Linked DNA regions of Macaca fascicularis. The protein of the gene in region 1 binds, or shares a complex with, the protein of each later gene. Links are inferred from orthologs where the notes say so. Each region holds a gene or a part of one and is shown in the gene's direction. Other genes may lie near its edges.

Region 1 (3,749 bases):
GATCGAGACCATCCTGGTGAACACGGTGAAACCCCGTCTCTACTAAAAAATACAAAAAAACTAGTCGGGCGAGGTGGTGGGCGCCTGTAGTCCCAGCTACTCGGGAGGCTGAGGCAGGAGAATGGCGTAAACCCGGGAGGCGGAGCTTGCAGTGAGCCGAGATCCGGCCACTGCACTCCAGCCTGGGCGACAGAGCCAGACTCCATCTCAAAAAAAAAAAAAAAAAAAAAAGAAAAGGGAGAGCAAAATTGGGAGACCAAATGTTTTTTGTGATGCATGAGAAATAATAAGTCGGCCGGGCGCGGTGGCTCACGCCTGTAATCCCAGCACTTTGGGAGGCCGAGGCGGGCGGATCACAAGGTCAGGAGATCGAGACCACGGTGAAACCCCGTCTCTACTAAAAATACAAAAAATTAGCCGGGCGCGGTTGTGGGCGCCTGTAGTCCCAGCTACTCGGGAGGCTGAGGCAGGAGAATGGCGTGAACCCGGGAGGCGGAGCTTGCAGTGAGCCGAGATCGCGCCACTGCACTCCAGCCTGGGCGACAGAGCGAGACTCCGTCTAAAAAAAAAAAAATAATAATAATAATAATAATAAGTCTTCGGGAGTGTCAGTAACCACCTCCTGGGATTTCAGAGTTCCAGGGGTCGGAGGTAAGCTCTTAATAGCTGTGCCTCACTGGCTCACCCCTGGCTATTAGATCCCCTCCCCAGAGAATCGCCTTCTGAGGACTTTGTGACCGCACACCGTAGTTCCTGCTCTTCCCCCGGTTGCCAGTGTCTGGTGGGTGAGTGAGCTCACTTGTGACTGGGGCATGAAGGAGATGATCCTAGGGAGTCTCTTAACTTAGTCCAGAAATCCTCCTTCCATTGCTTGCTTTGTCTCCTTTTTCCCTTGAAGTTTATTTGTTAAAGACAGACTAACCAACCTGCCTGGTTGTCTGTGCTGGAGTGTTTCCCAGGCCGTTGTGTAGCACCGTTGCCTCCGTGTGGGGTCATTGAACACGCTCCCCTGTCTTCAGGTTCCGTTGCCTCCGTGTGGGGTCATTGAACACGCTCCCCTGTCTTCAGGTTCTGTTGCCTCCGTGTGGGGTCATTGAACACGCTCCCATCTGCAGGTTCTGGAGCTTTGGTCACATTCACTTTTTTGGTAAGATTACTTTATAGGCACAGGCAAAATCCTGAAGGTATGATTTTAAAAATTGTTACCATTGCAAAAAATAGCACCTCAAACAAGAACAGTTGTGTTATTTTTACCCATCTGCCTTCCGCTCAATTCTTGGCCCTTATTAGCAAGGTCATGTCTAACAACCATGCAAAGCAGCATCCTCCCTGCCCTCCCTGGCACACTTCACCCGTTTGGTGCCTGTGTATGCTCCACGTGGTTACCTGTTAGTCATCTGTCTCCCTCAGACTAGCAGCCAGCCTGGTTCATGCTGCTCAGCACTGTGCCGAGGCGCCATGGTGCCTGTCGTGTTGAAGGGAGGGTCTGCACATGCGCTGCTCTGCAGCTGTGTTAGTGGTCGTGTCCTTTTATCAGTTGTGGTGGTGCCCTGCTCCCCTTATTCTTCACAGTATTGTTCGGAGCGGTGCATAAAGGGAGCAGGGCCTGAGGACTTTCCGTTGCCCTTTGAATTGCCACAGTCTTAATTTTGGAGATTGACCTGGACTTGGGAATGAAAGAAAAATGGAAAAGTGAGTGAAATTGGTTTAAATTCCTCATGCAGACTCCTCTCTCTCAAAATACTGCTTCATCTTGGAGGTGAGCTGTGATCCTTGTGTGGCTGGTCAAATTAGCAAATTTCCTGCCCCTGTGTAAGACACTGGGGCCTCACTGGGGCCAGTTTGGACTTCGGAAGTTTAATCACTGTAAGGCTGACAGAGCACTTTCAGATTGGTTGTCTGATTTAATCTTCATTTTAGCCCTGTCATGTAGGTAACACCATTCCTATTTTGAATTAAGCAGATCAGAGTAAAAAACAATTTAAAGCATTATTCTTTGTATGTCGCAGAACCAGAAATTGAAATTATTTTTCAATATCTGTACCCTATTTTGTCATTGGCATACTTGCAGCCTGAATGTCGTTATTGCTGACTGTGTAATTTGGGGTCCTGCGGGCACCGCTGAAGTGCCGCTCCTAGACTCTCAGGGGCCTGGATGAGAGGCCTGGGCTGCTGCATTGCCATGAAAGTAGAGGCATTACACGGAGCACATTGCAATGCAAATGTGAAATATTCTGACTTTAAAAATCATGCTAACTAACACTTGACTCACAAAGATGTTGTTCTAAAGTAGGGGCAGATTCCTTCACCTACTTGCTTTTAAGTTATTTAAATCTCTCTGAAAAGGATTTCCAAAACTGAAATTCTAAATAAAAGCCAATGGCAGATATGGGTCATCGGGAAGGATAGACATGAGACCTCAGCAGACCCTGTCTTAGTGGATTAGACGGGCAAGTTCTTGGAGTCAGCACAGCCAGAGCTTAGCCGTGACATTGGCACTGGAGGAGAGGAGCCCAAGCCAGGTAAACCTGATGGTGGGTGTTCTAGAAGGTTTGGGGGACTAAGGATAGTGAAGAGAAAAGCAAAAGCAATAAAATGTAAGTACGACTTTTAAAATTTACATTTATTTTTTAATTTTCAAAGGAAGCTGCGTCAACATTAGGAAGTTTAGTAGAAAAACGTGACTAATAATTATAATAAAAATGCTGTTAGTCTTTTTAACTGTCTTTCTTTAAAATAAGTATATTTTTCTTTTCTTGTTTTTTTTTTTTTTAGGCAAGGTCTCACTCCATTTGCCCAGACTGGAGCATAGTGGCGCAGTCACGGCTCGCTTGTAGCCTCAGTTTCCCGGACTCGAGTGGGTTCTCCCACTTTAGCCTCCCAAGTAGCTGGGACTATAGGCGTGTGCCACTACGCCAGCTAATTTTTTGCATTTTTAGTAGAGGCCAGGTTTTCGCCATGTTGTTGCCTACCCTGGTCTTGAACTCCTGGGCTCAAGCTATCTGCCAGCCTCAGCCTCCCAAAGTGCTGGGACTATAGGCATGAGCCACCGCGCCCAGACCTATTTTAATTCTAATAAAGCAGCTAAAATTACTACCTGCGACTGGGTGCGGTGGCTCATGCCTGTAATCCCAGCACTTTGGGAGGCCGAGGCAGGCAGATCACTTGAGGTCAGGAGTTCAAGACCAGCCTGGCCAACATGGCGAAAACCTGTCTCTACTAAAAATACAAAAATTAGGCAGGTGTGGTGGTGCATGCCTGTAATCCCAGCTACTTGGGAAGCTGAGGTAGGAGAATCGCTTGAACCCAGGAGGCGGAGGTTGCAGTGAGCTGAGATCGCGCCATTTCACTCCAGCCTGGGCCACAGAGCTAGACTCAGTCTCAAATAAAATAACTATATGCAAATTTATATTGTTTTTCACTTAGTATATAGTAAGCGTTTTCCCAAATTATTACTCTCTCCATTATTGTTCTTAGCGATATGTTACAGTTCTTCCAGTAACTATTTAGAGACAAGATCTTGCTGTGTTGCCCAGATTGGAGTGCAGTGGTGCTATCATAGCTCACTGCAGCCTTGAACTCCTGGGCTCAAGCGATCTTCCCACCTCAGCCTCCCAACTAGGTAGGACTACAGGCACGTTCCACCATACCCAGCTAATTGCATCAAGTAACTTTTTGTTTGAGATGAAGTCTCGCTCTGTCACCCAGGCTGGAGTGCAGTAGCATGATCTCCACTCACTGCAGCCTCC
Region 2 (3,749 bases), on another chromosome or scaffold:
GAGACAGTGTTTAGTAACCTCAACGGTGCACAGCCACCTTGTGGTCCCGGGACGCACCGGATGCTGCTTTCTTAGTCCAACACCGCCTAAACAGAGTTAGGAAAAAAGTGTTGACTCCTGCCTTGCTCCACCCAGTTGTGGGCTAAAAGAGGTTGAGGGTGACTCGTCCTTGGAATCAACTTGCCTGCCTCCCAGAGCGCGCCTGCCAGCCTCCGCTGCGCCCCGCCTGGAATTGGATTGTCCCGGACTCCTGCTGACATCGAGGGTTTTAGGGGGAAAGAAGAGGAGTCGCAGTGTCCGACACCAAGTCAGGCACCCCATATCCCCGTCTTCCCTCGCCGTCCTCTCTGTTTTCATTCACCCTAAAACACTGTGCCCACCAGTAGTCCCCTGCACGGAGGGCACTCTTTCTCCAAATCCAAGTTGTGCCCCCAACCTACAGTCGCCCAACTCCGGACGCTCTCCCAGGGTTTGCGTGATCCCCAAGGTGTCTCTTCTCATCTCCTTCCTCTCAGCTCTTTTTTCCTTTTAGCACCCCGGCTCTTAGCCAGCCGTCTTCCCACGCCCTCACCCCACTTTCACTACCTAGCCCACTACCGACCCTTCCTCCACAGGCTCCCCAGTGCTATCCCCGGAGTGGCGGCTGAAGAAGCCAGGGTCACACTGTCTCTGGGGTAAGGTTTTTGTGGAAACTCACATCCTCCGGGGAGGGGACAGGGCTCCCAGAAAGCTGTCTCCCAGCCCAGGCTGTCGCCCCCCTCTCCCTCCCTACTCAAGGTCTAACTCGGGTCCCTCGCCTGCTTCCTGTGTTTACGCGGCGCTTTAGTCTCCCGGACTCGCAGAGTGAGCTCCAGCCCCGACTGGAGCGAGGCAGCAGCCGCGAGCGCAACCCCACTCGCGGGCTGGGGCGACGGGGGCTGGCGCGAGGCGCACGGAGCTCACCAGCTCTCCCCTCCCTCTCCTGGGACAGGAGGGGGCTGACTGGGGCGGCGGGGTCCGGGAGTGGCGGGGCTGGCTCTCGTCAATTCTGCTGCCACCTAGTCTGCCGCCTGTCGGGAGGCGGGCGGGGGTGGGGCGGGAGCGCAGGCGAGGATTGAGACTCTTAAGTCAGGAGAAGTTTGCGCACAGCTTCACAGCTGGGCGAGCGCAGGAAGGCGCCGGGAAGGTGAGCCTCCCGGACTTTGGGAAGGGAGAAAGCAAGCCTGGGGAAGGAACAGTTGTCTTTTAGCTGATAATACAACCTAGACTTGGGTCTGAACCATCTAAGACAGATTTAAAGTGTCAAAAAACCAGGAGAGGGGCGGAGAGGGAGGACAGAGACTAACGCAGTTTACTCTCACGTCAAACTAGGAAAGCCAGCCCCCCAGTCTCTGGGTGGGCTGCGCCGCGCGACTGGCAGCCTTCCCGGGTTGGAGAGGTGGGCACGTCCGCACCTCACCCTGCGGCTGACATCTTCTGCCCATGAGACGGACGCTGAAGCTTGGACTCCTGAATCCCTGGAGCCACACCTGCGAACGCCCTTCGCTTCTATTGAGCTGCGCCCGGCCGCCCAGTGACAGAATTCCAGGTAAGGAGGGTCTGGAAATGAGCGGGACTTAAGGATTTGGGGTGTCCAAGGGATGTTTAACAATGCAGGGGCGATAGGCACCTTGCTTTTTAATTATAGAACTGCGGTTTGATTGTGGTGCTTGAGGTTCTCATGTAGGGTCAGCTAGGACTCAGACGCTTTACTTTACCCTTAATAAAGAAAAAAGAACAATAGGTGTCCTGGGAAGAGCCAACAACTTATGGTTTCGTATTGAAGAATCTTTTGATTTCTTGTGACTTTTACTATGTTGTTAATATCAATTTTCCCTCAAAAGTTTTATTCTCCAACTTACTGGGTAGGAAAACTACGGGGGATAAAGGTGTGAATTTTCCCAAAGGGTGTTTATTAACTGACAAACAGATAATACCGGCATCTATAAGATGTGTCGTGGTTGTTCTGGATACTGGAAATGAGCACAGTAGTGAATGGAGTTGCTTGTTAGGTCATGTTTTACAGAGAATTATTTTCCAACAATCATTTATGCATAGCAGCCATTCTTCACACCTATTAGGAAAAATATGTTGTGTGCATAGTTTCCAAAAGAGTACTATTTTTCATGATGCTCTTCCCGAAGTCTGGGTGAAAGACATCAAGAAAAGCTGTGACAAATTAATTCCTTTTCTCAAAACATTCATTGTCCTTGAGGTCCAAGCCAAAAATCAACAATACAATTGAGATTAGTAAACTACCATAACGACTTTATTTAGCAAATCTACCTAAGCAAAGTTTTATATGAAAGCTTTAACCTAATATTATGTGATATTTGCAAGAAGAGAAGGCAGTGTTCCACTTGCTGATCTTCAGGAGACCCTATTTCCTGGCTGTGGTTAACCAGAATCAAGTTATCTGTGTAAGGCTATTTGTTTAAATTATTTGGTGATTGAAAGTGAAATGTTCAAAATAAGTCAAAGTTTTACAAAGTAGTTCTTAAAGCTAATCTTTAAATTATAGAGTGTCCGAGTTTAAGTCTGTATTAAAGATCATAGAAAGCAAATATTTTGTGTATTTTGACCAGTTGGCTTACCATTAAGGACGAAGTAGGAATGCTTTTAGTGTTATGGAATTTATAAAGTGTAATTTCTAATAGCATATTGCTAGCCTATGAGTTCAGTAGTAAAAGAACTCAGCTTTAAAAGGTTGAGATTGCTGGTTATACACTAGTATTATAAGAGAAACTAAGGTGATTAGATTTGTAAAACTTTTACAGTTTAAGTTGATATTCTCAGTGGGAACTCATTTCTACTCAATATTTCAACATAGCTCAAAACATCCATTAGCCGGGATTTGTTCTGGTTGAATGCCTCTAACCTGTAGCTTATTTTATGAACTATAGCCCAAGACTAATATCTGGTCATATTATAAAATGTTCTAAGTTTATTCACTGACTACATCAACACAATAAGTAAACAAGTAATCTTCATTATAACTAGTTTATAAGAACATATAAATAATCTTGGAGTTGTTTTGTTTCATGATTCTCAAAGTTAAAAAGAAATAGCTGATATAAATACAGCTTCTGTTTCTCATTTTGAAACCGGAGGTTATGATCGATGGTGGATGGAGAGCATTTGCTCTAATCAGTTAAAGAAAGGGAGCTAACTATTAGTTTAGTTGTGCCATGGCAATTCTGTTCTTGATGAACCTCTCAGACTCTGTCAATGTTAACATGAATGAAAATAATATCTATTGTTGGTTTTTATTAGAGTCCAAGTGAGATGGAAATAGGAGACGGGTAATGTTTTCAATGATAATCTAAACCAGTATTCTCAACTCGGGCAGCAAATTAGGGTTAATAGGAGAACTTTCAAAAAATACGGATGCCTAACCTTATCCCAATTCAATTAAATCAGAGTATCTGTGGAAAGGGTCTGCAATTTGATGTATTTCTTTAGGTGATTGTAGTACGCAACCAGGACTGAGAGCCTCTGACCAAGAGGGTTTCCACCAGACTTGGTAGAACTCACTGATGTTTGAGGCTCTTGATAAAAATAAATGCTGTTTGTTATATTGCTGGTCAAATAGTTTTTTCTTTTTAAAAAAGAAACATGTATGTATAAACATATATATATATATATGTATAACTTGATCTTACAATTAGAAGAAAAATATTTTAATATTTGATGTTAGATATTTAGACCATAACAGCTTCTTGGAAAAACAT
Region 3 (3,749 bases), on another chromosome or scaffold:
ACAATCCCTGTGAAGTACGGAGTGTTGTTCTCATTTTACAAATGATGAAACAGAGGCTTAAGAGAGGGTAAGTTATTTTAGAGCAAGAATTTGAACCTGATTATTGTTCCTTCGATGTTATTGGTCTTTTTACTGTGCCACACACTTTGCTCTGTTTCCCAGTAAGACCTGTCAGATATTACAGTAAGACCTGTCAGATATTATGTCAGGATTATGGTTAAATAGGTTTTTTATTTTGGGGCTATGGCCGCGTCTGGGACTGGCCAGACAACTGCTGCTGCTTCAGATTTAAAATATAATTCATTGCATTCTGATTATGGGTGGCCATTTGTCTGTAATAAGAAAGCATGTGTATAAAATGAATTAAAAATGAAAGTTGGATCACACATTTTACTCAGTTGCCTACCTCTTGGAAAGCTTTCAAATGATAGCATTTGTTTATTGTCTTTTACTCTGCTGGATACTTTCAATTAATCCTTCTAAATACTAAAATTACACATTTTCATAGCACCCAACTCTGTTACCTGAAAATTGTCATCATTTATGACATTACTAGGAAAACCACAATATAATCCCAGTTTGCATTGTTTTAAATAGGCAGAAACAAGATTGTATATTCTAAGATACAAAGGCTTATTTGTACCATGAAACCTCCTGTAATATCCATGCCTGAGTAGAAGAAGGTACATTTACTTTTCTATCTTTTGTTTGTATTCTTGTATACTGCTCAGCAAATTAGAAGCAAGAAATGTATCTCAAAACTATAGGGTAGTGTCAAATATGGGAACAATGTAATTTCTCTGTGCTATTTCTGTAGTATTCAGAATGGGAAATACTTTACTTTTCTCTTGAAAAAGTGATTTTAAAGTTTCTTGGCCAATATTCAGTGAATCATGAGAGACAAAATTAATGGTGAATAGCCTTCTAGCTAGAACTTCTTGTGCAGCTGAATTATGATTGTCAGTTGCCATATGCCATACACTTAAAGGAGGTTAATATACTTCCTTTCTTTAATATTGCTCTTTGTTCTTTGGGAAAATGCCATGAGAAAATAGGAATTACCACTCTGGCAGTGTGTTTCAGTCTAACTCCTGACACCCTGTTCTGCTCCTGCCCCTTCTCCTTGCTAGCAGCCTGAATTCTGCTTATCTACTAAAAGGGGGATTCCAGACAGACGAGGAAACAGCTTTCAAATGAGGCACTGCAGGCATAGCAAGCCATTCCCACACTGTGCAATCTGGAAATCAGGGGGCACCTCTCTGACGATGAATTCCAATTAGTTGCTAAAGATTCCGGAGTGTGTGCACATACAGGCGTTTTCTTTCCCCTCCCCCTTTCTTCTTTTTCCCAAGCCCCCTCTTCTCCCTGTTTCCCCTCCTACTCCTTTATCCCCTCCCTTCGTGTCTCAGTTCTGCAGTACGCGAGTTGAAGCACATTCCTGCTTTGCAAGGCTTTCTGTTAAGGATGTATTGTGGCTTTTGTTTGGATTGCAGCATGCAGAATTACAGGTAACATTCTGAAATTGAACTAAACAGCAAATTCTGTTGAAATGTTTTCAAAGAGGCAAAATATTATATTGGAATCAATGAAGAAAGTAAATTATTTTGGCTATTTTTATTAGTGGTAATTGTAGTGAAAGGTTTTCATAAATATTATAAGCAAATTCCCTTTTTCCCCCAAGTCTCAAATGAAAGGAAATGGGGGTAAATTAATCTGACTGTGATTGGTTTTGTTTTATGCTGATCTTGAAAGCTTGATGTTGCTGCTGCTCCTCTATACAGTACAGATCAGTTATGTGGGGTGCTATTGAGGGTAGCCATGAATAGTGGTGCTAGTAGGGGTGGAGTGGGAGGGATGATGCCAGCCTGAGCTAGCCAGGTTCTTTGATTAGGGCATTGGATGTGAAATGTAAAATGCTCTCTCCTTTTCTTCTATCAGCTGTTCAGAGGAGACTCATTACAACTCCTGCTGAAGCTCCTAATCTTCTTCCCTTCTCTTCTACCCTTTCCCCCTACCCTCACTTGGCCTGAAGACGTTGTCCCCAGAGTTTACGTTGCTCCCCTGGTGCTATGTGTATGGTGAACCTGGCGCTATGGCCACGTCTGGGACTGGCCAGACAACTACTGCTGGCTCTCCTTATTCCAGGAAGGATTTAAAGGGGAATTGCACTGCAGGCAATGCACCAGAGCAGCAGCATCAGGAGCTTGGGGACTAAGGCTCCTCTGGCATTATTACACACATGCAAAGCTGACCGCAATGACAGCAGCTGCTTCTTTGAACTGTTGGCAGCAGCCAAGCGGCAGCATGAAGTGACAGATCACTCCTGAGCTCAAGATGAACTCCACCTTGGATGGTAATCAGAGCAGCCACCCTTTTTGCCTCTTGGCATTTGGCTATTTGGAAACTGTCAATTTTTGCCTTTTGGAAGTATTGATTATTGTCTTTCTAACTGTATTGATTATTTCTGGCAACATCATTGTGATTTTTGTATTTCACTGTGCACCTTTGTTGAACCATCACACTACAAGTTATTTTATCCAGACTATGGCATATGCTGACCTTTTTGTTGGGGTGAGCTGCCTGGTCCCTTCTTTATCACTCCTCCATCACCCCCTTCCAGTAGAGGAGTCCTTGACTTGCCAGATATTTGGTTTCGTAGTATCAGTTCTGAAGAGCGTCTCCATGGCTTCTCTGGCTTGTATCAGCATTGATAGATACATTGCCATTACTAAACCTTTAACCTATAATACTCTGGTTACACCCTGGAGACTACGCCTGTGTATTTTCCTGATTTGGCTATACTCGACCCTGGTCTTCCTGCCTTCCTTTTTCCACTGGGGCAAACCTGGATATCATGGAGATGTGTTTCAGTGGTGTGCGGAATCCTGGCACACTGACTCCTACTTCACCCTGTTCATCGTGATGATGTTATATGCCCCAGCAGCCCTTATTGTCTGCTTCACCTATTTCAACATCTTCCGCATCTGTCAACAGCACACAAAAGAAATCAGCGAAAGGCAAGCCCGCTTCAGCAGCCAGAGTGGGGAGACTGGGGAAGTGCAGGCCTGTCCTGATAAGCGCTATGCCATGGTCCTGTTTCGAATCACTAGTGTATTTTACATCCTCTGGTTGCCATATATCATCTACTTCTTGTTGGAAAGCTCCACTGGCCACAGCAACCGCTTCGCATCCTTCTTGACCACCTGGCTTGCTATTAGTAACAGTTTCTGCAACTGTGTCATTTATAGTCTCTCCAACAGTGTATTCCAAAGAGGACTAAAGCGCCTCTCAGGGGCTATGTGTACTTCTTGTGCAAGTCAGACTACAGCCAACGACCCTTACACAGTTAGAAGCAAAGGCCCTCTTAATGGATGTCGTATCTGAAGTGGCTCAGTTACGGGGTTCCCCTGTGTGTGTGTGTGTGTGTGTGTGTGTGTGTGTGTGTGTGTGTGTGTTTTATCTCTAAGTATTCCTCATTCACTAGGAAATCTGAGACAGAATACTTTGACTCTAAGCAATAGCATGCAAATTATTCGTACAGATACCTTCTAAGTTTGTAGAAATGGTTTTCAAAAGTGCTTTTGAATTAGAAGACTTAAGATCATGAAGACAAATTGCTGTTGCTTTCAATTTTTGAAATGTCTTGGAAATGACTACAGTTCTCAGATTTAGAATGAATAAAGCCATATCTAACACCTCTTTCCAGCTGGCATGACTGAACCTGAGTGTGAAAAGCGTCAGCATTTTAA

Evidence for each region.
Region 2: the proteins of GNB1 (region 1) and CALCR are in contact, whole or in part, in a cryo-EM structure (PDB 8F0K), measured with the Homo sapiens proteins. The link is inferred for Macaca fascicularis from reciprocal best matches to the Homo sapiens genes GNB1 and CALCR. Residues at the interface, in NP_001269468.1 of Homo sapiens: Thr47, Arg52, Phe292, Ala309, Gly310, His311, Asp312, Trp339; in NP_001158210.1 of Homo sapiens: Arg174, Ser175, Arg404, Gln408.
Region 3: the proteins of GNB1 (region 1) and GPR21 are in contact, whole or in part, in a cryo-EM structure (PDB 8HJ1), measured with the Homo sapiens proteins. The link is inferred for Macaca fascicularis from reciprocal best matches to the Homo sapiens genes GNB1 and GPR21. Residues at the interface, in NP_001269468.1 of Homo sapiens: Gln44, Arg46, Thr50, Arg52, Ala309, Gly310, His311, Asp312, Asp333, Phe335, Lys337; in NP_005285.1 of Homo sapiens: Pro57, Leu58, His61, Arg313, Arg317, Thr324.

Annotation. Positions count from the first base shown.
Region 1 is NC_088375.1:232,963,552-232,967,300, forward strand, and holds the start of GNB1 (guanine nucleotide-binding protein G(I)/G(S)/G(T) subunit beta-1), read left to right. Parts: upstream 1-1,512; 5' UTR 1,513-1,692; intron 1,693-2,488; exon of another isoform or gene 2,489-2,597; intron 2,598-3,749. UniProt on the Homo sapiens protein: Guanine nucleotide-binding proteins (G proteins) are involved as a modulator or transducer in various transmembrane signaling systems.
Region 2 is NC_088377.1:127,740,759-127,744,507, forward strand, and holds the start of CALCR (calcitonin receptor), read left to right. Parts: upstream 1-1,131; 5' UTR 1,132-1,165; intron 1,166-1,350; 5' UTR 1,351-1,461; coding exon 1,462-1,567; intron 1,568-3,749. UniProt on the Homo sapiens protein: G protein-coupled receptor activated by ligand peptides amylin (IAPP), calcitonin (CT/CALCA) and calcitonin gene-related peptide type 1 (CGRP1/CALCA).
Region 3 is NC_088389.1:21,037,150-21,040,898, reverse strand, and holds the start of GPR21 (probable G-protein coupled receptor 21), read left to right. Parts: upstream 1-1,434; 5' UTR 1,435-1,508; intron 1,509-1,938; 5' UTR 1,939-2,334; coding exon 2,335-3,384; 3' UTR 3,385-3,749. UniProt on the Homo sapiens protein: Orphan receptor.